Linked DNA regions of Tribolium castaneum. The protein of the gene in region 5 purifies or fractionates together with the protein of the main gene of each other region. This does not show direct contact. Links are inferred from orthologs where the notes say so. Each region holds a gene or a part of one and is shown on either strand. Other genes may lie near its edges.

Region 1 (3,208 bases), on a different chromosome or scaffold from region 5:
TAAAGACACTCTCACGACCCTGAGACCAAAAATTAAATTGTGTCAAAGCTACGAAGAAACACAAACCGAGTTAAATAATATTCGCGTCACTTTGGGCTTTGGTAAGCTTTGTTTTAAAAAATCCCGAAATAAAACTAAGTCAATTAGATAAAATCACTGGAGATTTGAACGAAAATAAAGTTGAGGAAGACGGCCTGGAAACGATCGCTGAAACCGACACTGAAGAACAGGACGAAGTGTCCGAAGTCACGGCACCTATTACTGATGATACCGCCACTGAGGACGAAACGGTGGACCACACACAAGGCTCGGACGATGAAGGTCCGTCTCACTTTTAAAATCTTCCAATTTTTTTAATTATTTTTTAGGGGAACCCGATGTTAGCGAAGCTGAGCAAGAACAAGTGTCCGAATCGCTGGCAATTCCCAGTGGCCCCCGCAAGGTCGAGTGCCCCGAGGACGAGGACTTTTTAAACGCTTTGGATAAAATGGTTTCGGAGAACATCCAAGAGCGGATGCGCGAGCCGGTGAAGGCCGGAAACGTGGACATTTCCGTTCCGGTTGTCCTCAAATCGAACAAAAAGACCTACGAGCAGTTGCAGGACGCCCCTGAAACGGAACCCAACAAAATCGGGTTCGTGCTAATGGTCCGCAAAGGAAACAAGCAGCAATATAAAAATTTCGAGGCTGATATCAACTCCGAACTCGCTCAGAATCTGAGGGACCAGGAGTTGGCTCAGAAGGAGGAGAAGGAACGAGTGAAGCGCTTGACGCTGAACATCACGGAACGGTTTGAAGAGGAGGATTATCAAGACATGATGCAGCAGCAGAACAGGCCCGTGACCCAAAACTTGAACCGCGAACGCAAGAAATACCAGCACCCCAAGGGGGCGCCCGACGCCGACCTGATTTTTGGACCTAAGAGAGTTAGATAATGGGAGGAATTCAGGATGAAATGGTTGAATACGATTAAGGGTCAAAGAAGTTCAGAATGTTTCAGAAATAGATAGATTGTTTCGTTTTTAGTCTATCGGAATTGAGAATTGTGAAGGAGAAGCAAGGAATTTCATTTTTTGTTTCGTTCAACATTGTTTTCTGTTGGAATAAAACCTTTTCACTAGTCAGTGTTTTATAAAAAATGGATTAAAATTAAAGATACAAAACCTAACATAATTCAGGGATCAGTCTGCATCTTCAAAATCCTCATCCTCGTTGCCATTCCGGTAGCTGTACTGGACGTCGACTGAGTTGTTTTGTAGCCTTTCGGCCAAACTGTCGACAACTGCGTCCCCAATCTGCTCAGACTCTGCTTCTATAAACATTTCTTCTTCTGCGTCCGCGAATAAATTATCATCGTCCTCGTCGTCAACATCGGCAGGATCGGGATTGAGTTCTTGGCAAATTTTTATAGCCTCGTAAATACTTTGTACATGTGTGGGGTTTTCGGGGGCTAAAATCAGCTCCGAGAGGTCTGGCTCTGACTCAACGTCACTGTCATCATTTGCGGGCCTTTGGTCAGTTTCTCCTACAAAACGACGCACAATAAACCAAATTTTGCGCAAAAAATTACAAACCAAACAAATTTATGTGGGGGTCAGTCAAAATATAAATACACTCCCTCTCGCACACGTTGGGGTCTTTGGACACCGCATGGAGCGAGACGTTGTAATATTCAATTGAAAAACCCGTAGTCCCGTCTTTTTGCCAACTGAGTGTCCTGTAATTTAACACAATGTATTTTTCGTTTGGTTTTGCCATAATTGTGTTACCTTTCGCTCACAAATAGGGTTCCGGTGCCCAGATCACGTTTATCCAAAATCACCACAACGTTTGACTGCTCGAGTCTTATAGGAGATTCTGGTGGTTTAAACGACGTGACCACAACCATTCTTCCTCCACTTTTTTTCGCAAAACGTGTTTATTTTTCAAAATTATTGTAACCACAAACTATGGCGCTTGACGTTTAACTTGGGGATTTTTATTTTCTTTTGGCGGCGTTGTGAGCTAAGGACCAATCACGGGCTGGTATTTTGAACCGGCTGTGTTTGATTGGGGAAAAAAACCTGTTATTCTGTGGGGAAAATATTTGTTGTCAATTGAGGTTAGGTGTTTGTTGACAAAAACTGATGGATTCCCAAAAAACAACCTTTTGTAACGAAATCTCGCTGATGATGTTTGGGTTCGGCGACAGCCACAAGCCGAACCCCGAGACGGTGCGTTTGGTGGAGAGCATCGTGTTGAAGCAGCTCCGCATGATCGTCCAGGAAGCGCTGAAGTACTCCGATGGTAAGAACCTCAAAGGCAAGGAGTTGGTGTTCCTAATGCGGCACAATAAGCACAAAATGCGCCGCTTTTTCCAATATTTGAAAAACAAGCAACTCAAACAGCAACTCCAGTCGTTGAACTCGGGGGTCATTGAAATTGACAGAGATCCCATACCGAAGAACGAGCTAATGAAGTTTATCGAGTACATAGACGAGACGGGAGAATTCACCGATTTATCCGAAGTTGATGAAGTCAAACAGTCGAGGATGCTGAGGGCTGATCGCATATCTCAAGCCCTGGACGAGAAGAGGTATTTGGAGTTTTGCAAAGCGAGAGCCACCTCGTTTTGCAGTAGAGATATCACGGCCCGAAACTCCGAAAAATTAAGACAGTGGATTGACCCGAAAAAGGAAATTAATTTCAGCACTAATGCTATGGTGGTTTTGTCGTATTTGGGGTACCAGACAGTTGCTGAGATAACCGATTATGCGTTGCTTGTGAGGATGGAGGGCAAATGTGGGAGTGATCCACTGAATCATTTATACGGCAATTACTACACTTCTACGATGTTTAATGGGGATTATAGGATAGGGGCTAGTGGTAACAATCCAGACTATAGCAGGGTTTACAGTGGACAGCCCCCCATTAGTGTCAATGAAATTAAAGAAGTTATGAGAAGAATTCACTGTCCGCAAGCAGGGAAGCTGAATTTCGGGGGAAAACTACCAGACACGCATTATCTATTTGCTCTGTAATTTGTTCTAATAAAGTTTAATTTTTTAAACGGTCTTTTATTTATCCAAATATTACGCTGCAAAATTTATGTGCAGCGAATCCATTCTCGACAAATTTTTTACGAAAAAAATAGAGATTATGCAAGATGATATTGAAGCAACCGATGTTATAATTTCTCTCGCCAAACTCTGAAAACAAAGGTATTGGGG
Region 2 (5,031 bases), on a different chromosome or scaffold from region 5:
CCATAAAAACTACCAAAACTATTAAAATTTCATAAATATCCACAGAAAATGAACAGGAAATTAAAAAATAATAACACTTTCCACCCAATATGTTTATTTTTGCTGAAATTCCTCCAAGTAAATACGTATCTAATAGCAAAATGTTTAAAACTGTGGCAGAACTTGAATTTTCAGTTCAAGCACTTGCTTAAATGCGCAAAAAAATGTAAAAATTACACAGTTTTTGACCTAACTAACAGTTTTTGTTTTTAGATTAAAAAAGGTAATAAATGGCCCAAAAAAACAAAAAATAATTGCGAAAATTTCACCATCCAAATTATTTAGAGATTCTTTTATTGCCCGATTTAGCAAAATCTTCCAGAAAGCTGAGTCAAAAAGTTACCTAAAGACTCAAACACGTGATTAAACACTGAAAAAGACCACTCTTTTTGAACTAATTAAGTTATTTTCAACATTTAAAAGTATATTTTACTGTATTTCTACAAAATTAATAATCACAGAAATAAAATTTTTCTCTTTCTTTGCATGTAATTTTTTTCAGAATTTGTCTACACTTCCTTGTAATAAAAAAGGGCAAGTAAACACAAAACAAACAATTTTTCGGATGACAATAACCACAACTTCATATAATTTGCTTCAAATTCAACATTTTTTATAACAGAAATAATTCTTTAGGTTTATCAATTATCACTGTTATCGTCTCGTAAGAATGTTCATGATGTGTTTTTTGACACTAATTCATACGTATGTTGCCCGATACTGTTGTTTGTAATCCCATTTTGCCTTTATTCTGGATAAACGATCCTATGTTTAACGTTAGATACCCGAGAGTGTTTATACTTTATTGATTATGTTATCTTTTTTGTTATAAGGAGTAAGTAAGTCAATGTATATCGAAATAATTTAAAAAGCATTTTCAAAATTGTAATACTGCGTGATCATTTGAATTTATAATTAGAGTAGGCTTTATCAGTTTTTTAATTTGGATTAAAAGGCAGATCATGATAATTAATGAAGCTGAAGGGCCAAATAATTATGTTTTGAACAGTAATATTCCAATTAGAATACATTTTTTCCATGAGATTGTATTAGTTTATCAATCAGAAAGACACAAAAAATGCTCCAACTATTTTTTGCCATTTCGATTAAAATCATTTTCCACCCTCCAAATACCCCACGAAAGCACGTCATTTCCTACCGAGAAAGAAAAGTATTTTTCTCTTGCATTCTCCTTGGTGAAAAACGGTATTCTTGGTAAAAACGCCGAAAAAATCATAAGTATTGTTGAAAAGTTTAGTTTGAACACCATAAAATTTTATTTTGATTACCCCAAACTGAAAATCCTTCAAGCAAATCATTCAGCATGTAAAATCTTTCAGATGGACCGACCAATATCGTAAATATCTTTAGACCCCCACATTAGCACGATTATTTGCTGTAAAGTTTTATGGTGTACAAACTCAGCTATGTAATAAAATGTATAACACTGAAAAAAAGTCGCATTTTCTCAATTTCGGGAGAGAATCCATGTTTTTCCTCCCTTAATATACTAATAGTTATAATTATAATAGTCGAAATAACGATACTAAAATATTAGATGTTACATAACAAAATCTTCGAAAAATAAACATTCAAAAATTAGTCTCATGATATTGAACATATATTTTTCATGTACAGTTAGAAAATTCTTCGAACTAATATTTTTTGAATCTTTTCAAGTGTTTTCCCTTTTAAACTGATCAAATCTCCAATTCTTTTACAACAAAAAATACTTTTAACAAAAAGAAACTCAGAATAGTACAGTTAAAAAAATACATATTCAAGCATTTTTTTATTATATTTTATTATTTTTAAATTTTCCTTTATTTATTGATTTTTTCAAACATAACAAACAAGTTCAGATTGTACAATTATGACATTTTTTCAAAACTTACCTTCAACAACTCTTCCCTTTGCTTCCTCCTCTTCTCAATAATCTTCTGCTCATCTTCTTCATCGTCCACCAGATCGATATTAACATCAATATCGCTATCACTGCTAACCCCATGCTTCTGTCCCTCACTCAGGGAGTCCTTGTACTTATCCTGCTTCTCACCCCTATTCCCTCTATGCCTCTCCTTCGCCTTCCTCGTATCATTCCTGTGATAATCCCGATGATAATAATCCTTATGATCATATCGCCGATCCCGCGATCTATGTCTCTCCCTCGACCTGTGATCTCTCACATGTCGCTTATCCCTGTCATAAATATGCGACCTGGACCTCTCCCTCCGCTCGGGACTTTTCCTGTGGTTGGTCCTGTGATAATTATCTCGCCCGTATCTCTCGTACACTTTGTGTTTGTCGTCTCTATGCCTTCGCACATCCTCTCTTGGATGCTCTTTGCGCTCAATGACGACTCTGCGCTCTCTGCTGTGGGACCTTTTGGGCTTCTTCACAGGCACCACCACGTCCCCGTCGTTGCTCGAATCGTCCAAGAGGATGATTTCGTCAACAATTTTCGGGTCTTTTCCGTTCTTTTTGGTCGTTTCGAGCTCCGCTTTGGCGATCTCGGCCTGGAGCAGCTCCTTCTGCTTCATGAGCTCCTCCAGGTCCATGTCGGCCTCGATGACGTTGACGTCGATCGCGTCGCTATCGCACTCTGTCTCCGGCACGCCGTCCTCGCTCTCGGAGGAGATCACCTCCAGCGAGTGCGTGTCGGTGAGACCGCGCGCCACAAAAGCAACAACCTCATCAGTGTCAGTTTTAAGCGGGTCCTTGTTTTTTGGGGTCCCTGACAAAGATTTACCATTAATAATATGATTAACATTTTTCTTACATACTGCAGTTGCTGACTTAGGCGATAATTCGGGGGTATACCGATCTAGTTTGTCACTTTTTGTCGAAAGCCTGTCTTCCGACATGTCCCTTTGTTTGTTGTGTTTGTGCTTTTTGCGTTTCTTGGTCTTTTTAGTTTTATCTAGTTTTTCGGTGACGTGCTTTTTGTGTTTGTGTTTGTGGTCTTTCTTGTGTTTTTTCTTAGGGGGGCTGGCGGAGGTGGGCTTGGTGGCGGGCGGCTGGACTTCACCTTTGGGTCTGCGAATTAAGGTTAGATGAGAGATTGGCGGATTGGGGGCGGTGGGGACGTGGTACTTACTCGGTGTCCATTCCGGTGGCGGGGAAATGTGATCGAAATGGCAAATTAGTGGCTGATTAGTGGTAATTTTATTTCAAAAATAACCTAGGAATAACATCGGAATATCGAATCGCCAGGCCAACGGTGATGGAGTCGCAGTTAATGCCGGCTATTGTTTACAGAGGGAGCGTTGGCGCTTTCGGCGGGAAAATGGAAACATTGTAAAGAAAATTTCACAAAAACTGTTGATTTACTCGACACAAGTTGCACAAAACTGCAAATTTCAATAAAAAAGATTATACACGTGGTAGTTTGTACTTGAGGTACTCTATGTTTCAATTTAACATAGATTTTTTTTCTTATAGCTGTGCTTTTACAGAAAATCCCAATTTGTCCTATATTTTTCTCTAAAAAATGAAAATGCGATATTCTCTGTTTCAAAACTACGGAAATGCTAAAGTCGCATTAAAGTGCATGAGTAATTTATAAATACCACAGAAAGGGGACGTTGGCATTTCCATAAGCTTGGAAACAGAGAATAAATAAGAGAAATGGTCAAACCTAAGCGTAACACAATAGTATAGATTCATATTACAAATATTACGTTACAAAATGTTGAAACATAATTTTACGCCTATAAAATGCAACCAGCAATACACATTACAAATTTTAAGGATAGCTCTAATTATTAGTCAAATTAATAACTAATTTGTCCAGCAAGAATAACGTAAAAAAAAGGAAAATGCATACACCTGGCTTTGAGGCCTCTTCTTCTGTTACCGTCTTTAACGGACTCACTGAAATAATAATAGTGAAATAAGAACAATGTGCTACTAAATTAGTTGAAAATACATTGCATATTTAATATAACTTTTAAACCGCAAAATACTGATTTTATTTATGAGGCGTCTGTTCGCGATGAAAGCAATTAACACTAGCGGCTAGCCCCTGCCGGTCTACAAATGTTCGCTCAGTCGAAATGTTGCGAGCGAGGTCGGAACAGTACGAACGGAGACCATAACGGACTTCTCATTTCAGCTGGGCATATTGGAATAGTGGTTTTTATGGAAATATGTTGCGCGTGGCTGGGGCTTCGCCCCAATTAACTAAAAGCAAACAAACCCCACGACCAATTAAACTCGAAAACGTGGAACTCGAAACGTGGAATAGTGTTTATGTTTATGAACTGTACGCCACCCTAGCTCCATAAAAAAACACTATTCCACGTTTCGAGTTCCACGTTTTCGAGTTTAATTGGTCGTGGGGTTTGTTTCCTTTTAGTTAACTGGGGCGAAGCCCCAGCCACGCGCAACATATTTCCATAAAAACCACTATTCCAATATGCCCAGCTGAAATGAGAAGTCCGTTATGGTCTCCGTTCGTACTGTTCCGACCTCGCTCGCAACATTTCGACTGAGCGAACATTTGTAGACCGGCAGGGGCTAGCCGCTAGTGCAATTAACAATCATGTTTACTTTCATCGAACCATAAATATTACTGACTTTTTGTAAAAAAAAATCCAAAATTATTAAAAAAAACGTCATGCAACTATAATCACAAATGGGCACAACTTTTGGCCTAATTTAGTCGCTCTAACAACACTCGAGTGCTGAAAAGTTACTCCCTAACGGAGAATTAGATTGGGCTCAGAATCGTCCGCAAAATAACACAGAAATAACGGACAATTTGAAAAACTTAAAGACTGGCATACGATAAGGCGGGGATTCTGTTTTAAGTTTTAGGAACTGTTGCAGTTCAGTTTAGTGAATAGATTCCAGATCCAGAATGAATCATAAACAGTTCCGAATTTAAGGGGTCTTAGAATACATTTTCTTCACTGTGGAATTTAAAAAAGTTTGGGCATTCATGAAATTATTTGGCAGTTTCTGTCAGTACCACTTTGACAACTATTTCTA
Region 3 (4,280 bases), on a different chromosome or scaffold from region 5:
GAGCGCGCATCTTCAATCGCCTCAGTGATCTGCCCCCGGTACCAGTCCGTCACTTTGGAATTTGGAGGGAAAAACGGGTACGCAGCTGGACTTTTGCTCACTTTCGGAGGGGTCCTGAAAGCCGCGTTAGACGTGCCTGGGCCGTGGGGCCACTTACTCGTTAGTTAGGGCAGCGTAGGCCACCGCGATGATAATCATGATCAGGAATTCTTTGCACAAGTTCAACATTTTGAGGGTTAACGTGGGACGGTCTGCCACGCTCGCTTCGGGATTATCGGTGTCGCTATCTGAATCTGTCGCGACAACGTCGGGGTCATTATTGTGAGTGGTCCCTGGGTCAGGTGCTGGCGAGGTGTTACAGTCCGACTCTTGTACCGGAGATGACATACCCAGTTGACCTCATACCATTGAACCTTGCTCGATTTCACGTAAACTTGCCGCGGATTCGGAGAATTTTGCTCTTTGGTTAGGTGAAAAATCGAAATTTTACGAAATTTGACATCGTGTCAGCACACGTCAGCTGTCACGCTGTCGCACGAAGTCCACCAACTGCGAATGTGCAATGACAGCTGTCACCCCCCAACTTAACCAAACAATTATTATTATTAATTATCCTCACAAATTTTTCCTTCCAATGAGTAACGGGGAATAAGAAAAAACACAAAACACTGGTCATAATTTTTTATTGATAAAAAATTGTACACCTCATAAGACCTAAGACCTACTCCTGCCTATCTGCATGCAACTGCGTGGCTCCCAGCCTGGCCGGATCCTGGCTGGGATAATGCACTGTGCTTTTGGAGGGCCCCCCTGTCGCCTCACTCGTCACAGTGCTGCTCGAAGCCGCTGTGGGGACATACGCCGACAACTGGGGCGGATTAAAGAAAAATGGGGGCATGGGCGGGGGGCCGAACATCGGCGGAACGATGAGAGACGGCGGTGGCGGCATATTCGGCAATGGAATGTGTCCCGGTTCGAGATTAAAGAAATTATTACTCAATTCAGGCAGAGCCCCCGGAAGGCCTGGCACAGGTTCATAGGCCTCAAGTCCCGGGTTAATCGCGGGGCCCGCGCGTCCTTGAGACCGCCCCCATTTGATGGTAAGTCGGCGGCCGCCCAAAATCAACTTATTGAAGGTTTTTTCGGCGGCCGTTTCAGCGGCTGCTCTGGTCGTGTACTGGACGAAGGCGCATTGCTGTTTAGGGACTAAACTAACAGAGCGGATCTCCCCGTATTGGTAGAAGTGGTCCCTGATGTCTTGTTCGGTGAGAGTACCAAGATTGCCGATGTATAGAGTTGTGATGGTTTTGTCTTCAGGGGGCGGTAATGCAGGCATGGCTGCCGCTCTTTTCAATAATTTATCAGCAACAGGGTCGTTCACGCCGTAGTAGCGGTCTTTTATGTTTTGATCAGCAAGGGGGTCTTCAGGATCTGTTGGCTTCTCGTGTCTGTAAGGACACTCCTCGCCTCTTCTGCACTCCCCTTTCACCCAAAATGAACATACGTGGGGCCTGTTTCGTTTGTAGTAGGGGGCTGTTCGCGCCAAACGCATTAGCAAGTCATTCGGTTCGTTCAACTTATTCGACAAAACGCCAGTATCCGACCGTTGCAACTGCAAAATAAGAGGTCGAAATTCAGATAATTGAATGGCTTTTTACAAAGTCAATGTTATTTGCTTAAAAAAGCCTGAACCGGAAATATTTAAATCAAATCTAGAGGGTAAATCTGGGTGTGGATGTGGTGAATTTGTTTTTTTTTGATTTGGCAAGGCTGATGTGAGTCATGGAGGCAACATTACCACATAAAAAAACACTAAGCTCTTTAAAGCACTCAACTGCCTTCGTGGACGCAAAATATAATAAAACAAACCTCGCGCTCCATATTCTGGATATAATATTCCTTATTAACGTCGCTCTTGGGGAGATCATCCTTGAGTTTGAGGGCAGCGTCCCGGACCTGTATAGGGAGGCCGTACTCCAAGTCCAGGAGACACGTCTGACACACGTTCTTCAACTTGCTACAAGTCTGGCAAACTTCTGTCTTTTTGAAACGCATACGAGCCCCAGGACACCACCGAAACACTGTGAAAGGGCGCGCACAGATTTTACACTCCTTGCCATATTTTTCTTTAGTCTGAAATCACATTTATTGAATAAATCAGGGAGAGTTGTGGCCCAGGAGATACAAACCATGCGAATATAAGGGTTGTCCCCCAGACAGGTTTGACACAAAATCGGGAAGTCCTAAAGTGAGGTTAAATCAGATTTACACTAGTTCCAGTTTAGGACTTACCGCATCCTCCCAGTTTTGCCGATTGTATGTGTTTGTTGTTTTTGACGTTGCCATTGCAGTTTCACACCATTTATGCTCGGGTTTTGCTCAAATTATACGAAAACTAAAAACAAGCTTTATTGATAGTTACTTGACGTGACTCAGTGCTGCCAACCTGTGTATGGGAGGGGACGTGGCGCAGGCGTTTTGGGGCGAGAGGTGATCCATTTATATCCTTTTATGGCAAACATAACCGCTAGATAAATAGGTTTTGCGAAATTTGTGAAATAAAATTATTTGCCAAGTGTTCATAACCAGTGCGTGTGCCAAGAGAATTTCTCGTAAACTGCCAACACGTAGTGTAAACTTTTCTACTACAATATCTCCGTGTTCCACTTGAGGATTCTTACCATTTCCGGCAAACCGGATCATTTTTCACATAAAAAAAACAGGAAAATGTCATTTGCATCAAGTAAGTGTGACCGTTTTTTGTTTCATTTGACAGGTTGCGATAATCAAGCCACCCCGTGTAATTCCGGTTGGTTTAATTTTGAAATGGAATTTATCTTATCTTTTCCAGAGAGTATTTACGCGACTTTGCCGCGGACCCAACGAGGACAGCCCCTGGTGTTGGGCGGGGATCCCAAAGGCAAGAACTTTCTCTACACCAATGGCAATTCCGTGATCATTCGCAACATCCAAGTAAAAAAAACCTTTCCTCCCTTAGAAACCCACTCCAATTGGTTTGTTACAGAACCCTGCAATTGCCGACGTCTACACGGAACATTCCTGTCCGGTAAACGTCGCCAAGTACTCCCCTAGCGGCTTCTACATCGCCTCTGGAGGTAAATCAACACACTGGAGCCCCCGAAAATTAAAACAAACTGGTTTTATTTCTAGACCAATCGGGCAAAGTCAGAATCTGGGACACAGTCAACAAGGAGCACATCCTTAAAAATGAGTTTCACCCAATCGGGGGGCCCATCAAAGATATCGCTTGGTCCCCTGATAACCAACGAATGGTCGTGGTTGGCGAAGGCCGCGAACGCTTCGGTCATGTTTTCATGTCCGAAACGGGAACTTCCGTTGGCGAAATCTCAGGCCAATCAAAACCCATCAATTCCTGCGATTTCAAACCCACGAGACCTTTCAGAATCATCACGGGGTCTGAAGACAACACCATTGCGGTTTTCGAGGGGCCCCCGTTTAAGTTCAAAATGACCAAGCAGGTAAGGAGGCCACGACTCGTGTCGCCAACCCACAAAATTAAATACACTAGCTTTGAACTGACAAACCAACACCACTTTTAACGCAATTTCACATTTTTTTGACCCAATTTACCTTTTTTTTTATTGCGTGATAATCGAAATGTCCTTGACGAAAACTAATTTGGGGGGAAATACCTGTTCATAAAGTAACCATAGGTGGCTATGATTTTGGTCAACGTCACGTGATTGTTTTTTACAGGAGCACAGCAGGTTTGTGCAAGCCGTTCGTTATTCACCCACCGGTAATTTATTTGCCTCGGCTGGGTTCGATGGTAAGGTGTTTCTGTACGATGGTACGTCCTCCGATTTGGTGGGGGAAGTGGGAAGCCCCGCCCACAGCGGGGGCGTGTATGGGGTTAGTTGGAGTCCCGACGGTAAACAATTGCTAACAGCCAGTGGGGACAAAACTGCGAAATTGTGGGACGTGGAAACGAGACAAGTCGTCTCTGAATTCGTCCTAGGTTCGACAGTTGAAGATCAACAAGTGGGTTAAGCCACGCCCACTAACGTCCTCTTTTAAGTATATAATATTTTATAGGTTTCGTGTTTATGGCAAAACGAATACTTGCTCACGGTTTCTTTGAGTGGTTTTATTAATTATTTGGATATTAATGACCCAACGAAGCCGCTCCGGGTTGTTAAAGGGCACAATAAACCCATCACTGTCTTAGAATTGAGCGAAGATCGTGGTACGATCTTTACCGGGTCGCATGATGGTAATGTGACTCGATGGAACGCCGA
Region 4 (4,788 bases), on a different chromosome or scaffold from region 5:
AAAATTCATTTTGGCAAGAAAATCAAAAGTGACGTACAACAAATGCCACTTTGAGGTTGTTATGTGAGAACTTATCGTCCTTTATGGCACGCTATGTTAATATTCAAGAAAAAAAAAACATTATTTCCCAAACTATCGAATTTTTACGAAAAAACTTAAGAGATAAAAAAGATGTAAAATGAAGCGCTGAATAATACTTAGTCATAAAATACAGGGGGTGCTATTTATAAAATATAGTTAATAGAGCTCTCAAAGTTTACCAAAATAAATGTGTTACAGCACGGGATGCTACAGTGCAACTGTACGGTCTTTCCGCCGAAAAATACTTCAGACAGTTGTTTACACACAAGCAAAGTCTCAACTTGATATCTCGAAAACCACGGGCATTGTGATTTTTTAATAATGTGCCAGTAGACGCACTAAATTGTAGAAAAAAAAAATAACTTCTGAACGCTTTAAGTAAATTGAAAAACTAAATGGATATGTAAAGCCTAAAAATGTGCAAATTTAAATATGTATAAATATACAGGAAGTGTAATTTAAAAAAACGATGTTATAGATTGCGCTGTAAAAATGAAACACCCTGTATAGGGCAACATAATTTTAGAATTTTAGAACACTTTGGCCCCCCATGTACTATGCCCTTTTCAATTTCGATACCATTGAGGGTGTAGGTGTAACTAGTATGCCCATATTAATGACTCACTCTGTATAAATAGTTATTTTGGATCACGTCATAAAAATTTCGAGCAGGTTGATCGCATTTTGGACGTCTACTTTAAAAGAAACGGCCAACGTGAATTCCTAGTGTCATGGAAGGGTTACCCCAACTCACAAAACAGTTGGGAACCTGAAGAGAACATGGATTGTAAAGATTTAATTAAAAAATTCATGAGTAAAGTGGAAAAGGCTAAAGAAGCCGAACACAGAGAGCTACGTGTCAATAGGGCGCACACAGATCGATTGACTCTCCTTTCAGACGGCCATTTGGGACGTCGTTTGAGCAAAAGAAATCTAGGAAAACAAAGGTAATTTCCATAATGATATTGCTCACTTTCTAATTTTTTTTTCACAGGGTTCACTACCACGAAGCTGAATAAAAAACCATGTAGTACAATATCATTCGGAAATGTTCATGTGTTTAAGAGAAATTTTCTTTTCTATCGATAACTGTACTTTTCATTTGTTGAAACAAGGTTTTTTTATAATTATAAGCATATACTTACATAATATATTTAGGGTAGTTCTAATAAAAATGTGCAAACACAAAAAAGTTGTGCTCATGAAATTTATGTTTATTAATTACAGATGCAGAATCTTTGTTTATTTTATAGGTCAGATATTTAAGTATTTCGTGTTTATGTAAAATAAATTTTTCACAAAGATAAGTTGTCTTATTTTACGGACAATAAATCAAGAGGGGAGTGGCTGCTATGGTGGCGCTATAAATCAAATTTAAGCGGTCGCACCAACCTGACTGAAGAAAAACCCTAAAATTCCACAACTGTGCTTGAATTTGGCTCGTTTTGGACAAGTAGAAAGCAATGTTGATACATTGGGGGCAATTATTTGAATATTTCCACTTTTCGGAATGATTTGTTTTGTTTTTTAAACGCGATTAACATCAAATTAATTTAGAATCCCCCTGCTGTCAAAACCCCGGCCATGTTGGCGACGCAGCTTCCGATGGGTGCACATCGTGTAAAACATGTAAAATTCGCGAAATTCCTTCCTCAAAAAATGCTATTTTGAGGCATTTACTATGTGCGAGTTGCCGTGGTACGCATTGGCCGAAATCTACTTGCAGAACCGCGACAAATCCAAAGAAATCTACTGTTTATGTAGCAGGGTTTTTGTAAGGTAGGTTATCGTTCTGTCATCTGTCATTTATTAGTTCGCCATTCAGATTTAAATGCGGCAAAACGGTTTTCTAACCAATTTTTCAACAAAACGATGTTATAATGACCAACAACGAGCCGAAAGCTCCAAATATCCACGATTTTTGCATTATTAAGCCGATAAGTCGCGGCGCTTTCGGTAAAGTGTTTTTGGGGTGCAAAAAGACAAACATGGACGTGATGTACGCGATTAAAGTGATGAAAAAGACCGAAATGGTAAATAAAAATATGGTGTCTCAAGTGGTGAACGAACGCAACGCCCTAGCCCTCACCAAGAGCCCCTTCTGCGTGCAATTGTTCTACACCCTTCAGACGGCATCTTCGATTTACCTCGTCATGGACTACATGGTCGGGGGCGACCTCAAGAGTCTCCTAAGCGTGTACGGGTTTTTTGACGAGCCCATGGCAACTTTCTACGTTGCTGAGGTTTGCCTCGCACTTCAATATCTCCACAGCCATAGCATAATCCACCGAGACATTAAACCCGACAATATGCTCCTCTCGAAAGAGGGCCACGTTAAATTAACCGACTTTGGCCTCTCATGCGTGCAAATCCACCGAGATTTAGAAATTTCCGATTTCGAAAATGCCACTCCTAATCTCTGTACACGCACCCCTGGCCAACTTCTAAGCCTCACTTCTCATCTCAGTTTCGGTTCGGGGAACTCCCGGAACTGCGACGACTCTGGGGCCAATTTAGAGCGACGTTTCGACCACAACAGCTCGGCATTATCAGGAGTTACGTTTTTATCAGCCGATGGGGCTTCACTCCAAGTCACCGAAAACAGTTCCTACCACACGTGCGCAAGCACAAACCCCGAAGACTCCACCACATCTCCCGTGAGTAGACGCGGGTGCTACAAGCTGCGAGGGGGCGACCGGAAGCGGAAACAACGCTCACCGAGTCCGGAAAACCCCCGAAAATCGTACATAAGAACAGGTTTAACTGGCGAAATGGAGATTTTGAGGGTTGACTCGACAAATTCCCCCAAGGGGGTCACTTTTTCAACGCCGGTTTCGAACCCAAAACCCAACAAAGTGATAATCAAAACGACGAGATTTGAAATTCCCAAAGACTCGGATTGCAAAACTGATGAAAATATTGTTAGTCCTATAACACCGAAAACTCCACGAACTCCGTATAGGACTCCCAAGTCGGTTAAGAGAGGGCAGTGGAGCAGCGATCAACGCATTTTGGGAACTCCCGATTATTTAGCCCCCGAGTTATTATTACAAAAGGGGCACAACTGTGCCGTGGATTGGTGGGCTTTGGGAGTTTGTTTCTACGAGTTTGTGACAGGGATTCCCCCGTTTAACGACGAAACGCCTCAACAAGTATTTAAAAATATCCTCGACCACAACATCGAATGGCCCACTGATGATGAAGCCCTAAGCAAAGAAGTGGTCGACGCTATTGAAACTTTACTAACTCCGGATCCCGAAAAGCGACCACAAGCCACCGAAGTTATGAAATTGGAAGTTTTCAAAAACACGGATTGGAAAAATTTACTGCAAGCTCAACCGCCGTTTGTACCTGATCCTTATGACCTGACTGATACCGGATATTTTCAAGCCAGGAACGAGTTACTTAATTTTAACATATCAAATTTTGATTTGTGAAGTTTTATATTGGATATTAATAATAATAAATGTTTTGTTTTTGAAATGCCTGTTTTTATTTATGTGAATTTCCAGACTTAAGGTTTTCACATTATTGTAAATCTTTGCAGAAACAAAGATGACAATCTCAAACGGACCGTTTTCTCATCCGAATTCAGCGCTTCCGAAGAGGAGCTTTTAATCGAACAGGAGATCCCGAGTGAGTGCATTTCACTGCCTCAGATATTAAAATATAAAGTCAAACAAGAGGTAAGTGATAAATAAAAATAATCTAATACCACAATAGATCCAACTTATTTTGGCGTAAATATCACGAAGTAATTACTTTTCTGTAATGTACATAATGTAATTTTTTATCTTGGTTGGCGATTTTTTGTCTTTTGTCGAATTTTTACATTTTGGTTCAAATTCAGTCTAATTAATTAAAATAATTACCATTTTCGATTAAATTTTGTGGTTTCTTTGTTTCTTTCTGACGAAATTGGTCAAAAATATTTCGAAGTTGATGATTTTTCAGGCAACTTGTAGCGAAATTTAAAAAAAAACGTATTTAAAAGCTCACAAAAAATTAACATTCAACGAGTCAACATTGTTGTTATAATTTCGACTTGTTCTTAGCGTAGTTTAGTAATTTCGGTCAGGATTGGTAAAATCTCACAAAAACACATTTGCTGATCTTCAGCAAATTTTTACGTATGTTCTGACAGAAAAAATGTGCGAAATGTTCAAGAACTGTAAAACTGTTAATGTAATAATATAATTTTAGGTGATTTTGCAAAAAAGATCTCGCAAATAACACTGAGATTTTTGTTTAAAACGTGATTAAAAACTACAAAAACCCCATATTTATGATGAAATATTGCTCCAAAACAAATCAAATTGCGTGAAACTGACTAAAAGATCAAATTTCGATGTAATTTGATAATTTTGCAGCCAGTTTAAGCAAGAATTTTTGAAAAACTTAGTTATTATATCAAAAACGTATCTAAGGGCCCTAAAAGGTCAGATAAAGCATTTTTAAACATATTTTATAAGGTAAATTTTCGGCTGGTTCATAACGATATTTTGCGAAAAAATTAAAAATAAAGTCACTTTACACCTAAATTGTAGATTTTCGTTGAAATTCTGTGGTGTATTTTTTTGGTTTAATTTGGACAAGCTGCTATGTATGTTCAATCAAAGACAAAAACAAGTGAAAATCAGAAATTAACATATAAATATCGATCGTAGTTTGATGTCTTTTCAGACAGTTTCAGAACAGAATTTTTTG
Region 5 (3,066 bases):
TTATCGAACTCGCTGTATACAAAAAGTATGGATAAACTGTTAAATTTATTTGAAATTGAAATTATTTAAGCCAGCGTTGTAATTTTACTGAAAATATTGACCAATAATTTTAGTTTTATATATTTTTTAGGTATTGTGTTGCTATCCACAGTTTTTTTGGCTGATAAAAGGGTTTTTGAATTTTTTCGCTTCGGCCCAAAAAATATTTTTAGTATTTGACTCTTCATTTGATGACACTTAATTTTTTTTTAATTTTTCTTGTGACCAATGTGTGCCAAAGTTATCAAATTAAATTAAATTGATGCTTTTTAAAATATAAAGTATGTTTTGGCTCCCTCTCGGGTAAATGCAAAAGCAGGTGTATGAGAGGTAACTGTAAGTGCAGGGGAACTTTCTTCAGTTGTGCTGCTATCTGTTCGTTTTGCCGTTAACTACAAGGATTTAATTTACATTTTTGGTACTTAATTATCATTTCCTTATTCCATTATAATTATTTATAGAACACTGTATGTATCCCCCACTTTATAGCGTCCTTTAATGTTAAACAAATAAATATATTTTTGTATTTTTTTTCAAAAGCAAGTTCTCTTGTTTATAATCCGTAACAGTTTGTGTATTTTTTTTGTGGTAGACAATCGTAACGTTACATGTAGAAAAAAAAACAAGTACTTTAACACGATTTATTTGGTAAAAAATTAAATCTACAATACTTATTTACGTAAGTATCCGATCGTACATTTAAACTTGAATTTACATTAAATAATTAATCCTTCGTCTCTCCCTCCTCGTCCTCTTCTTCAGCCCCTCTTATGAACAAGACATTGTTACATCTAATTAAAACTTCCCCTAAGTTACCTGTAAAAAAATGTTACACAAGGGGGTCCGCCTCCAAAGCATAGTTACATACCAGTCATATTCCCATCAATAAATTCCTCTGTGTTTGCTAATTGTAAATTCATGTAACCATCAACTGAGACAAGGTAACCTTTATATTCGTGCCCCCACTTCAATTTTACCATCACAGCCTTGCCTGTTAGGCCGTTGAGGAAAGGTTTGGGGTTTATGGGCATTGCGGTCGACATGGTTGTTGTTTTTGTGTGCAAAAAATCGCAAATAAACTAAAAACGTTGACACAACGCTAACCAGCAAAAGTGAGGTTGGAATCGAGCGACAATTGTGTCAATTGTCAAAATTTCCATCCACCATCGACGTATAAAAAGTTGATGGGTGTCTGATTTTTTAGGGCGCATATTGTTTTTTTGTGATTCTTGGACTAAAATTACCGTAATTAAAAAAAACAAGGATTGTGGTCAATTAATGATTTATTGGCGTTAGAATAAATAACTGTGCGGGGGTTGATTGCCGGCTCTCTATTTTACCAAACCGAAAAATCATTGCCAACCCCCCAGTGCGAAAATCCGAAAATAAAAATTTGTGACATGTGTTTTACATAATTTCGTGGAAAAGACTGTGTTAGGGTAAGCCCCCTCTAGTAATAATCCGGCACTGGTGCACAGGCAATCTTAACAAAATCCTCGTACCGCACCATACTGTTGTTATTAACATTTGCCTCTCTGAAAATCCGATCAATTTCCTTGGCCGAAAGACACTCGCCCCAGTTTTGCAACATGTGACGCAGCTGCTTGGCCGGAATCACCCCTTTCCCCTCCGGGTCCCCAGCCTTGAAGGCGTCCACCACCTCCTTGGGCACGTTCTCCACCCGTGAGTGAATATGCATAACCTCCAAGAAGTCAGCAAAGCTCATTTTGCCGTTCTTTTGCTTGAAATAACCCGCAAGCTCTGAGATGGTGGGCGACAGCCCCAGACTCCTCATTATCACTGTGAGTTCGTCCAGGGACTTGATGTGCCCCGAGCGCGCAAACAAGTAGAAACACTCGCGAAATTCTACAAGATTTACGAGTTAGTTTGGGGGGCTATCACGGGGGTACCTACCGTCAATGTCTTGCTCCTTGAAGTAGCGGGCCTGAAACAAGCTTGATTAGGTTTGGGGTGGGTTTAGCGGGTTATTTTTACCATTTTTCTTGTAAATATTTACACGTCAATTGTATTATTATTATCAAGGTGAAACAGGTGAAAGTACAGTTAGCGTCACGAAATTTGGCACAGACTCGTCATTAATGAATTATTTATTTTTATCTCTGATAAAATGATGATTTTATCGCCCAATTGTGCCAGGTAATTGTTTGGGGCCCCGATTAGTGGGAGCCCTTAATCAGGGTTGTAAACCCCCCGAACGAATCGATTTATCGCCTCATTTCTAACGTAATTTATTAATAAATAAAGTTATATAACAAAACAGCTCGTCATTTGCGATAGTCTTATCACTCCACGCTTAGATGTTGTTAAATCCCCGTCCAATTAAAAAAAGGTAACACACTTTGAACTTTGCCTCCTTTCCTCCGACTCTCCTCTAATTCTTCATTCCCGTTCCAGTTGACCCAATAATGCCTTGATTAGTCTTCCAAAAAATGGCTCGTAAAAGCCATGACCCTGTTTCGAGTCAGCTGAGCAACACTCAGATCGTCCTCACTAGTCTGTGTGCGGGCGCCATAGCGGGGGCCCTCGCCAAGACCACGATAGCCCCCTTGGACCGCACAAAAATCAACTTCCAGATCAGGTAAGCCCCCACGTTTGGTACCCCTCTAACTGGCTTCCTGCAGCAACAAACCCTATTCAACTCGCAAGGCGTTCAAGTTTCTGCGACAAACGTACCACCAGCACGGGTTTCTGGCCCTATGGAGGGGCAACAGTGCCACCATGGTGCGCATTGTGCCCCATGCCGCCATCCAGTTTACCGCACACGAACAGTGGAAGAAAATTCTCAATGTGGACAATACAAACAAGTCCCCCAGGAAATTGTTCCTGGCGGGGAGTCTCGCGGGGGCCACTTCGCAATCTCTCACCTACCCACTTGATGTGGCGAGGGCTCGAATGGCTGTCACGAATAAGCAGGAATACGCGACTTTGAGACAAGTTTTTTATAAGATTTTTTACGAAGAGGGAATCACAGCGTTCTATAAGGGGTACATACCCACCATTGCGGGG
Region 6 (4,840 bases), on a different chromosome or scaffold from region 5:
GATGACTGTAGATAATTCGAATATCTACAGAAATACGCAAATGTGGCCTATCTCTTGACAGACGACACTTGGAAAAAGATGGATGATTAGGTTAGCAGTGCGCAGGTGCGACGATGAGAAAGGCGCCAAATTTGAAAATTGTTTATTGATACTAGCGTCATAAAATTACAAAAAATACGGAGTAACACTTCTACTTGGAATAACTCGTTCATTGTCGGGTACGGCGTTGAATAATTTCGGTTCGACTTTATCCGTGGTCTGGAATTCCAAAATACTTGCAATGTTGCCACAACGGTAGCAATAATTGGGGGCCGACCAAACCGTTATCAGCTTATCATCAAACATGTATTTATAACCTGAAAGACACATTAAATTATCGCAAAAACGAAACACCAAAAACAACCTTCGTGGACTAACTGATGAGCTCTGCAAATTAATGTGAGCGCGTTAATTTGCATGAATTCATGAGTGACCTTCGCCCCGAACAAGTACCCAGCCCCCCTGGGACTCGACGCCCAGGTGTCCACATCCTCAGGGTCCGACCAAACTAAATCACAGAAGGCACCTTTATGCGGAATTTCCTGATTTCTCTCCAAAGTCCGAATCTGGTCAACCGTTTTAATATCCGGACTTAAGCCCCCATGTACACAAAGCACTTTCTCGTCAATTAACGCAGCGACAGTAAGCAGATCAAACACAGAACAGCAGTATTTCCAAGCGTTAGCATTGCCATATTTAGTCAGACACTCGTCGTAAAAACCGTAAACTTGCGTAATCTGTCGACTCTCATGGTTCCCCCTTAACAAAGTAATTTTGTTCGGATAAGCCGCCTTCAAAGTGAGCAATCGAGTAAAAGTCTCAAGACTGTAATACCCCCTGTCGACAAAATCGCCTAAAAATATGTAATTGGTGTCAGGGACTTGGCCCCCTTGCCGGAACAGCTCCTCCAGGTCATAAAACTAAAACACGCGACTGTAAACTGAGCCAAGGGGACGCACAAAACCCACCTGGCCGTGGATGTCCCCACAGACCGTCACAGGAGTGGAGACGGGCTGCACGTTCGACTCCTCCAAAAGAATATCACATACGATACTGCACAATTTCTTCAAGTCGTTTTCGGTCAAATACTTGCAGTCTTTCACGATTTCAATCCATTGATCCAGCTCTGAAGACATGTTGGTCTAGCGACTTTTCCAACACCAATTGAACGTCAAAGCCCGGCAATAATCAACGTCTTGCGGCAAATAATGCCATAAAACATAGCAAAAAGGCCGAAATTTGGTAAATTGGAGTGAAGATAACCAAAAAGATGTGACAGTTTGCAAGTGACAAATGACAATTTGAAAACCACAGACGTACAAACGGACGAACCCACCGAATGAATTAATTAAATTTCGACGAAAATTGAAAAATTAACTAAACTGAAATTAAATTCCCGGTGTTCGGGCAATTTTCATGTCTTTATAATTTTAAAATAATTGGAAAAATAATTATCTATAGGCGCCAGCCTCGCTCTATGGTTTGCTTTTGACAGTTGACAGTTGTTAGTGTTTTAGGTTAAAAGTTGATTCAAATTACACATTTTGAGACTTGAGTATTGCATTTGTGCAAAATGCTGGCGTTGCAAGGTTACGGAGACAGTGACGAAGAGGAGGTTAAGCCTGAGGAGCCCCCAGCGGACCCCGAATTTTCAATCAAGAACAAACTCCAAGTGTGTGCGGCTCCTGTCGTGTTACCCACGGTGCGTGATCTACCTTATTAGCGTATTTTTACTAAATGTATGCCTTCTAGGGGTCTGAAGAGTGCATCCAGCACGTTGACCCCAGCGCCCAGGAAGTGACTTTTAACCCCAAATACGAGGAGTTGTTCTCGCCCATGGTGGGCCCTGAGAACCCCTTCAAGACCCAGCAGCAACAATGCACCCGAAACATACTTTCGGGTTACGTTGAGCCAGCGTATGTGAACGAGTTCCAATTCGAAAACCAAAGACGGACGTTTAACAGTTTTGGTTACGCTCTGGACCCCACTGTGGGCAGTGCCGCTGAAGGCACCAAAGTTGTTACAACGACTGGCCAATGCGATGATATTGACCCGGAAGCAAAAACAGTGTTTGAATCAACCAAGCTGAGACCTTTAGATAAGAGAAAACGTAAAAAGAATAACGACCCGAGCGATATTGAGGGGTTTTTGGGGCCCTGGGGTGGTTTTGTGGACGAACAAAGGGTCATGAAGCCGTCTGATGAGGAGGCAGCAGAGTTGGACGAATTATTGTCGAAAAAGAACAAGAAGGGGAAACCCACAGAAGACAAACCAATCGAGGAAAAATCAATTTTGCACAGTAAGAGTGACTATTGGGTGAATTTTGCGAAAATTGCTGGTTTTGTTACAGTTTCAGACGCTGTGGATTATCAGGGAAGGAGTTTTCTACATGCACCTCAAGATGTTGGTGTCAATTTGAAATCGGACAGCCCCCCGGAGAAGTGTTTCCTTCCGAAAGCACATATTCATACGTGGTCGGGGCACTCGAAAGGAATTGCGGCCATTCGGTGGTTCCCCCGAACGGCTCATTTGTTACTGTCTGCTAGCATGGACTGCAGAATTAAGGTCTGTCTAGTGGCCTATGATTCTTAATTTGAATAAGATGGCAGCACCGAATAGTTTAATTTCAGTCACAGCCAACTTAATGTTGGTTTATGAAAAGTCACTATTAGCTTTTTCAAAACTATTAAAAAAAATAATCGTATTTTTTGTTGTAGTTGTGGGAAGTGTATAACGAAAGGAGATTAGTTCGCACCTACTACGGCCATAAGCAAGCCGTTAGGGACATTTGTTTCAATAATTCAGGAAAACTGTTTCTTTCGGCCGGTATGTTTATTTATTTTTTTGGTATATTAACAAAAAAAATGTGATTTAGGTTACGACAGGTATATTAAATTGTGGGATACTGAGACTGGTCAAGTGGTCAAGCGATTTTCAAGCCGCAAAATCCCCTATTGTATCAAATTCAACCCTGATAAGAACAAACAACACCTCTTCGTTGCTGGAACTTCTGATAAGAAAATCATTTGTGTATGTGTGCTTTTTTTTCAGTTTTTGTTTTTTTTTAATTATTTATTATAGTGGGACACCAGATCTGGCGATATTGTCCAAGAGTACGACCGCCATCTGGGAGCAGTTAACTCTATTACATTCGTTGACGACAATCGCCGATTCGTTACGACTTCGGACGATAAAAGTTTGAGGGTCTGGGAGTGGGACATCCCCGTTGATATGAAATACATCGCAGACCCGACCATGCACAGCATGCCTGCTGTGACGCCAGCACCCAATGGAAAATGGTTGGCTTGTCAAAGCATGGACAACAAAATTGTCATTTTCTCGGCATTAAATCGCTTCAAAATAAATCGAAAAAAGACGTTTACGGGACATATGGTGGCTGGGTATGCCTGCACACTTGATTTTTCACCAGATTTGAGGTTTGTTATTATTTTTTTAACAGTTGTAGGTTTTAACAATTTTTTTTGTAGTTATTTAGTGTCGGGTGACGCCGATGGTAAGTGCTACATCTGGGATTGGAAAACTACAAAGTTGTATAAGAAGTGGAAAGCGCACGATAATGTCTGTATCAGTGTGCTGTGGCATCCGCACGAGCCGAGCAAGTTAGTGACAGCAGGCTGGGATGGACTTATCAAATACTGGGATTAAGTTTCCAAGAAGGTGTAAATTTTAAGCGAAATAAAATATTTTAATTAGAAGATACGTCCTTTCGCTATGGTCACGTGATCGTTATAACCAATCAACGTAAGCGATTTCGGTCACCTGACTTATGTCTACGGTGAAACGTCACTCATTTTGCGTTTTTAAATGCCTACGTCTAATTTTGACAGCGAGATTTTAATTCCGCCGTTAAAGCATTTAAAAGATTAGAAAAAAATTAGATAAAAAATGATGTTTTTGCAATTGGAAAAAAATAAAGAATGATTATTAGTATTTTATTTAATAGTAATTAAATTTTCTAACATCAGCATTTGCTTTTTTTTCAAAAAATCTTTGTTCTCTAAATCGTCCTTTTAATTATTAATTTTTTTAATTAATTAATTTTTTCTCAAACTGTATTTTTTCGTCTTTGCAACAATCACACATTAAATTCACTTTCAAAAGACAATAAGTTGCTACTTTCGTTCGTTCCTATGTTGATTTCTAAATTTTCTAGATAATTTAAATGGAGAATTAAATACTTTAATGGGACTTTAATTTTTAAATATATATTTAAAATGATGAAACGGGGTGTTCAGTATTATAACTAATTAAGTCCGTTAGACGAGTTTTGAGTTACACAGGTCCGGACTTTGCTGGTATTTTGCAAATTTGTTTTATGGTGGAGTGGCATAGTTTTTTGGTAATGACTAAAAGACAACGTAGATTGTGAAATAACGTAATTAGAGTATGATTTTACAGCATACGTTTCTATTTTCTATATTTTTCTCAAAATTGACACAACTTTTGGTCATTTACTTCAGATTTTTTGCTGTTGAATGACTGTTAGATGCTGATTTCAAGAGAATCAACGATTTTTTCTATCATTAGTTCTCTGGTCCTCCCTAGTTTGTGAATGAATCCAAGTATAAACAACTCTCGCTTTAGTAAACCACTTTTTCCAATCCGTGCCAAAATTTGAATATCATCCAAAGGCCATAAATCTCCCCCACCCGCCCCTCAAAATCCATAAAATTCCTGCTTTCGCGCATGCGCCCCTACTACCCATCCCGCAAACATCCTCCCGCTTTGTTTACGTATGCTGTCAAGCGCGTCCATTTCCTAGTGCCGTTTGCGTGCCCCC
Region 7 (3,926 bases), on a different chromosome or scaffold from region 5:
AACAAATTAGTACTCGTATACTTTAGGTCAGTATTCATAAGAAAAACTGGACAAAACTTCATAAAACACTATTTTCACTGTTTTTTTTATTATATTTTTTGACCAGAACACCATTTACAGGAAAGCGTGCTATCCTGGATAAAACAACACGGGAATTTCTTTCTTTTAGCAGCTTTTGTACCATCACTAATATGGATATGTAGTTTCCCTTCGAACAGCTTTCGAGTAAAACATAAGCATAACTGTTCAAAAGCAAATGCAAGTAAGTGAAGTAAGTAATTTGGGATCCTATTCTTCATAGTCCATTTTTTAAATTCCGCGTATGGATTGGTTGAGGGGTCCATAGTCCATTGCAAAACGTCTTGGACACTTTCAGAATACATTTTTACGAATAAAGTAATGGCCAAGTTATTAATTTAATTTCATGACCCGCGCAAGTGCAGTCAACTGTCACAAAATCCCTTAAATTTCGAACTTGAACTTTTTTGCTAAAAATACTGTATGTTACCACATTTATAAAGCATTTTGTCGCACTTACTCCTAAATTCGTGCGTGCGACAAAATGCGTCTTACAAAACTCGTTCGTATCATAATATACTATTATTTTTGTGTACAAATGAAATAAAATAGTTGTGACATAATTTCCGAATTATTACCAATGTTCCCAAGCCCTAATTCCCGTTTCTCTCCACCGTGTCACGATCCGAGGCCGTCGTCTTATTCACCTTGGGGCGCTCGTTCTGGCGTGCTAAGATCCAGATAATCCTCGAAACATGCAACGGACACGACAAAAACGCTCAGATTTAGGCCATCAAACGCCGACATTGCATCTAACCTCCGATAAAATCCGCCGCATCATTTGCATTTCATTGTTTTATGCACTTTTACCAGATGGTTAATGCACTCGCTAATTATGCATTTACCGCATTTCCGGTTTTATTTTGCGCAACTTATTGCCGACCCCGAATGAATTATTATCTCGTTGTTCTCAGAAAAATAAAATTATTGTTTGCATTGCTCTTGTTATAGAGTCACTGAACCGCTATCACGAAAATAAGACGCACACACTTAACAGGTTTTGTATTATTTATTATGACAGGAACTGCTCAAGGCGGGACAGGGAAACATCCGTTATTTATTACTTCGTCTCCTGCTTTCTTGATATTTACTCATTTCTTCGATGTAAATGTTCTGCTGGACGTAGTTTCGGACAGATTGGAGAGACTCCTGCCAGTGGTAGAACCAATCGTCGAAACTTTCAACCGTTTCAAAAGTCAAACCATTTTGCCACAAAACGTTACTACAGTCCTCGAAAAATTGATCAAAACGTTTGCCAGAACCTTCCTGAACCACTGGAGCCCATTCGAGAGATACGTCATTCCTATGCACTGCTTCCTCCATTTCGAAATCTTCCTCTTCTTCGCATTTTTCCTCCTCTTCTTCCACCTCTTCCTCCTCCTCCTCCTCCAGATCATTTGTTATCTCAACATCAAGTTCTTTACCACGGTTTTGGAATTTTTCGAGCTCCTCCAAAGGCAAATATTCCGTCCAAGTCCTCCTCCCCCCACTATCAATAGCACAGTCATACGCCGCCGTGAAAATTCCCTCCATAAAATCCTCCACTTGGGGAGTAACAACCGGGACTTCCTCCTCCAAGTCATCGACTTTCAAAATTTTAAGGTAATTATCGACCGAGTCGGTAATGTCCCCATCTATGTTAATCCCCGGATCTAGTAAAACCTTAGTCAAGTTAAGAAGCCCCCGATTTTTACAAAAAGTGTCCTGTGAGAAATCATTTTTGCGTTTCTCCTTTTGCAAATCGGGACTAGCTTCCGGGTTAACCCTTTTACGTTTCTTCCCATCCTTGCGCTCCTTTAGCTCCATAACCTCACTTTTCAAATTTTCGCTAACGTCATTTGAAGTGTCAGACGGCACGACCCCCCTTATTTGTTCCAGTGTTTTCAAATCGACTTGCCACAAATCCACCCCCTCCAATGGGGGCAGCTTGGCAATGGATAAATTCCCCCCGATGGCCCCCAGAATGTGCTGCAATTTGGTCACTTCGGGCCCCTCTGACACGAAATTAATGCAAAGTCCCCCCGAACCGTAGCGACCAGCGCGCCCCATGCGGTGCAAGTACGTAACAGCGTCGCAAGGCAAGTCGTAATTTATCACAAGATCGACATTGGGGGCGTCAATACCCCGTGAAGTCAAATCAGTTGAAAGTAAAATGCGATTTTTAAATTTTTTCAAATTGTCAATCGCCTCCAACCGCTCGGTTTGTTTCTGCGCCGCTGAAATAAAAACCGAATCCCAGCCCTTCTGGTTCAAATAATTCGAAACTGTCTCGGTCCGTGATTGGTAATTCGTAAAAACCAAACATTGGACGAACGAAACTTTCGTTAGGATTGTTATCAAAAGATCGTTTTTTATTTTCATTTGTTGGACTGAGTTAAGGCCGGGCCTTAGCATGGCTGCGAATTGTTTAAGGCCGAGTAGGAGTGGGGTCTCGTTTTCGGACGTCACGTGAGTCGGGGATTGCATGTAATTGGCTAGGAAAGTGTCAAGTTCTTGTGGGTAGGTGGCGCTCGATACTATCATTTGTTTGCGAGGGGGCAGACTGTTGTAAATTTCGTTAATATCAGACTGGAAACTCTCCTCCATTAATTTATCGGCTTCGTCGAGGACGAATAGTTTGACGAGGTTTGTAGTGAGGGCCCCCATTTTTAGCAAGTGTTTGACTCGGCCGGGGGCCCCCACTGCGATGTGACACTTGGACGATTTCTTCAAGTCGTCTTCGAGGGGCCTCCCACCGATGAAACTCTCGATTTTGAGGCCTAAAACGTGCCAATTAATCAAATTATTCAATGAATAACGTGTATCAAGACAGCCGTGATATATACAGGGTGCTGCATTTTGGATGTCCGACTAGGAGAACTCCGAAAGTAAAAGATTTAAAGAAAAACGAGTCACATTCGCGGCTCCGTTTTTTGAGAGAATTATTTTACCCAAAATCGCATCCTGTTATAGTCTTTTATTTTCGACTTTCGAAAAAGTTGTCATTTTAGTGGAATATTAAAACATTCATATCTTCCTTATTATAAAAGATACTTATTTAAAACAAAGACTTCACATATTATTATAACAAAGTCACGTTTTACAGAGAGAGAATTTAATAATGTTGTCAGCGATTTTTTTTATATTTCGTTCAACTGTAATAACAAAAAGTTTTATTTTTTTTTAAATAAGAATCATAGGCGGCTGCAGTATTTTTTAAAAGCTTATTTTGTTCTGATTTGATATATCTATTTATGTAATACATTATTTTTAAATATTAAGGAAAACATAACATTTCGCTTTTTCTTTATGGTAGGCCATGAAAAAAATTTCGATTTTCAATAAAAACTATGAAAAAATATATTACCCAACAAGTATTTATAATTTAATGATTTTTTAAACACTAATTAATTCAAAAACAGCATAATAAATTATTATTAGAACAAATTTTTGCGATTAAGAAAAATTATTTGTTTTTAGATTTAAAATGGCAAGCTAAAATTGTCATTCTATTTCTTAATTAAACATGAAATGTGGAAAAAAGAAAAATCTTATTAATCGTATTGCCTGTCAATATTTATTTTACAAAATATTTTACTCTTTTGTAGTAAAAAATACATAACATTATCAACGTCATCGCCATTGCACTTCACTAAATCATAAGAAAGTGTTATTAAATAGTAGTGACACATCGTTTTCAGTTTTCTGAACATTTTTTATGTAATTAAAATCTGCGACGATCGTATATTTGTTCTATTGAAAATAACTTTAACATAACTTATTTTGATAATTTCAAATTTTTTACTTTAATAACCGTTCACAAAATTTCTAGATTATTCACAGCTTATATGTGAAATAATTTTTCCATG

What was found.
Region 1: the proteins of SmF (region 5) and icln purify together in Homo sapiens (affinity purification with mass spectrometry; 3 studies listed by BioGRID and IntAct, counting the BioPlex papers as one, with this or other methods). This does not show direct contact. The link is inferred for Tribolium castaneum from reciprocal best matches to the Homo sapiens genes SNRPF and CLNS1A.
Region 2: the proteins of SmF (region 5) and Prp4k purify together in Homo sapiens (co-immunoprecipitation; 3 studies listed by BioGRID and IntAct, with this or other methods). This does not show direct contact. The link is inferred for Tribolium castaneum from reciprocal best matches to the Homo sapiens genes SNRPF and PRP4K.
Region 3: the proteins of SmF (region 5) and pre-mRNA-splicing factor RBM22 purify together in Homo sapiens (co-immunoprecipitation; 3 studies listed by BioGRID and IntAct, counting the BioPlex papers as one, with this or other methods). This does not show direct contact. The link is inferred for Tribolium castaneum from reciprocal best matches to the Homo sapiens genes SNRPF and RBM22.
Region 4: the proteins of SmF (region 5) and Tgs1 purify together in Homo sapiens (co-immunoprecipitation; 3 studies listed by BioGRID and IntAct, counting the BioPlex papers as one, with this or other methods). This does not show direct contact. The link is inferred for Tribolium castaneum from reciprocal best matches to the Homo sapiens genes SNRPF and TGS1.
Region 6: the proteins of SmF (region 5) and pre-mRNA-processing factor 17 purify together in Homo sapiens (co-immunoprecipitation; 3 studies listed by BioGRID and IntAct, counting the BioPlex papers as one, with this or other methods). This does not show direct contact. The link is inferred for Tribolium castaneum from reciprocal best matches to the Homo sapiens genes SNRPF and CDC40.
Region 7: the proteins of SmF (region 5) and probable ATP-dependent RNA helicase DDX20 purify together in Homo sapiens (affinity purification with mass spectrometry; 5 studies listed by BioGRID and IntAct, counting the BioPlex papers as one, with this or other methods). This does not show direct contact. The link is inferred for Tribolium castaneum from reciprocal best matches to the Homo sapiens genes SNRPF and DDX20.

What each region holds. Positions count from the first base shown.
Region 1 is NC_087394.1:28,288,770-28,291,977, forward strand, and holds icln (methylosome subunit pICln), read right to left. Parts: upstream 1,904-3,208; 5' UTR 1,888-1,903; coding exon 1,769-1,887; intron 1,717-1,768; coding exon 1,574-1,716; intron 1,525-1,573; coding exon 1,181-1,524; 3' UTR 1,111-1,180; downstream 1-1,110. Other genes in the region: Upf2 (regulator of nonsense transcripts 2), read left to right, coding at 1-101, 148-321, 369-934; transcription initiation protein SPT3 homolog, read left to right, coding at 2,126-3,019; uncharacterized protein LOC103312536, read right to left, coding at 3,071-3,187. UniProt on the Homo sapiens protein: Involved in both the assembly of spliceosomal snRNPs and the methylation of Sm proteins.
Region 2 is NC_087394.1:6,855,855-6,860,885, forward strand, and holds the start of Prp4k (serine/threonine-protein kinase PRP4 homolog), read right to left. Parts: upstream 3,320-5,031; 5' UTR 3,148-3,319; coding exon 3,137-3,147; intron 3,076-3,136; coding exon 1,935-3,075; intron 1-1,934. UniProt on the Homo sapiens protein: Serine/threonine kinase involved in spliceosomal assembly as well as mitosis and signaling regulation. Connects chromatin mediated regulation of transcription and pre-mRNA splicing.
Region 3 is NC_087399.1:5,882,103-5,886,382, forward strand, and holds pre-mRNA-splicing factor RBM22, read right to left. Parts: upstream 2,483-4,280; 5' UTR 2,347-2,482; coding exon 2,293-2,346; intron 2,244-2,292; coding exon 2,190-2,243; intron 2,134-2,189; coding exon 1,870-2,133; intron 1,613-1,869; coding exon 722-1,612; 3' UTR 667-721; downstream 1-666. Other genes in the region: thioredoxin domain-containing protein 11, read right to left, coding at 1-114, 158-387; flr (actin-interacting protein 1), read left to right, coding at 2,728-2,743, 2,852-2,973, 3,026-3,116, 3,172-3,500, 3,739-4,023, 4,078-4,280. UniProt on the Homo sapiens protein: Required for pre-mRNA splicing as component of the activated spliceosome. Involved in the first step of pre-mRNA splicing.
Region 4 is NC_087394.1:22,602,279-22,607,066, reverse strand, and holds the start of Tgs1 (trimethylguanosine synthase), read left to right. Parts: upstream 1-1,635; 5' UTR 1,636-1,762; coding exon 1,763-1,860; intron 1,861-3,628; coding exon 3,629-3,767; intron 3,768-4,788. Other genes in the region: chromobox protein homolog 1, read left to right, coding at 754-1,028, 1,076-1,100. UniProt on the Homo sapiens protein: Catalyzes the 2 serial methylation steps for the conversion of the 7-monomethylguanosine (m(7)G) caps of snRNAs and snoRNAs to a 2,2,7-trimethylguanosine (m(2,2,7)G) cap structure.
Region 5 is NC_087398.1:3,706,185-3,709,250, forward strand, and holds SmF (small nuclear ribonucleoprotein F), read right to left. Parts: upstream 1,199-3,066; 5' UTR 1,083-1,198; coding exon 908-1,082; intron 856-907; coding exon 764-855; 3' UTR 667-763; downstream 1-666. Other genes in the region: calmodulin-like protein 4, read right to left, coding at 1,490-1,905, 1,954-1,984, 2,035-2,037; mitochondrial coenzyme A transporter SLC25A42, read left to right, coding at 2,490-2,638, 2,682-3,066. UniProt on the Homo sapiens protein: Plays a role in pre-mRNA splicing as a core component of the spliceosomal U1, U2, U4 and U5 small nuclear ribonucleoproteins (snRNPs), the building blocks of the spliceosome.
Region 6 is NC_087400.1:5,273,107-5,277,946, reverse strand, and holds pre-mRNA-processing factor 17, read left to right. Parts: upstream 1-1,463; 5' UTR 1,464-1,612; coding exon 1,613-1,741; intron 1,742-1,791; coding exon 1,792-2,338; intron 2,339-2,389; coding exon 2,390-2,604; intron 2,605-2,756; coding exon 2,757-2,865; intron 2,866-2,914; coding exon 2,915-3,069; intron 3,070-3,120; coding exon 3,121-3,476; intron 3,477-3,527; coding exon 3,528-3,705; 3' UTR 3,706-3,755; downstream 3,756-4,840. Other genes in the region: PpV (serine/threonine-protein phosphatase 6 catalytic subunit), read right to left, coding at 166-356, 404-959, 1,008-1,175. UniProt on the Homo sapiens protein: Required for pre-mRNA splicing as component of the activated spliceosome. Plays an important role in embryonic brain development; this function does not require proline isomerization.
Region 7 is NC_087394.1:23,203,450-23,207,375, forward strand, and holds the end of probable ATP-dependent RNA helicase DDX20, read right to left. Parts: intron 2,838-3,926; coding exon 1,132-2,837; 3' UTR 1,069-1,131; downstream 1-1,068.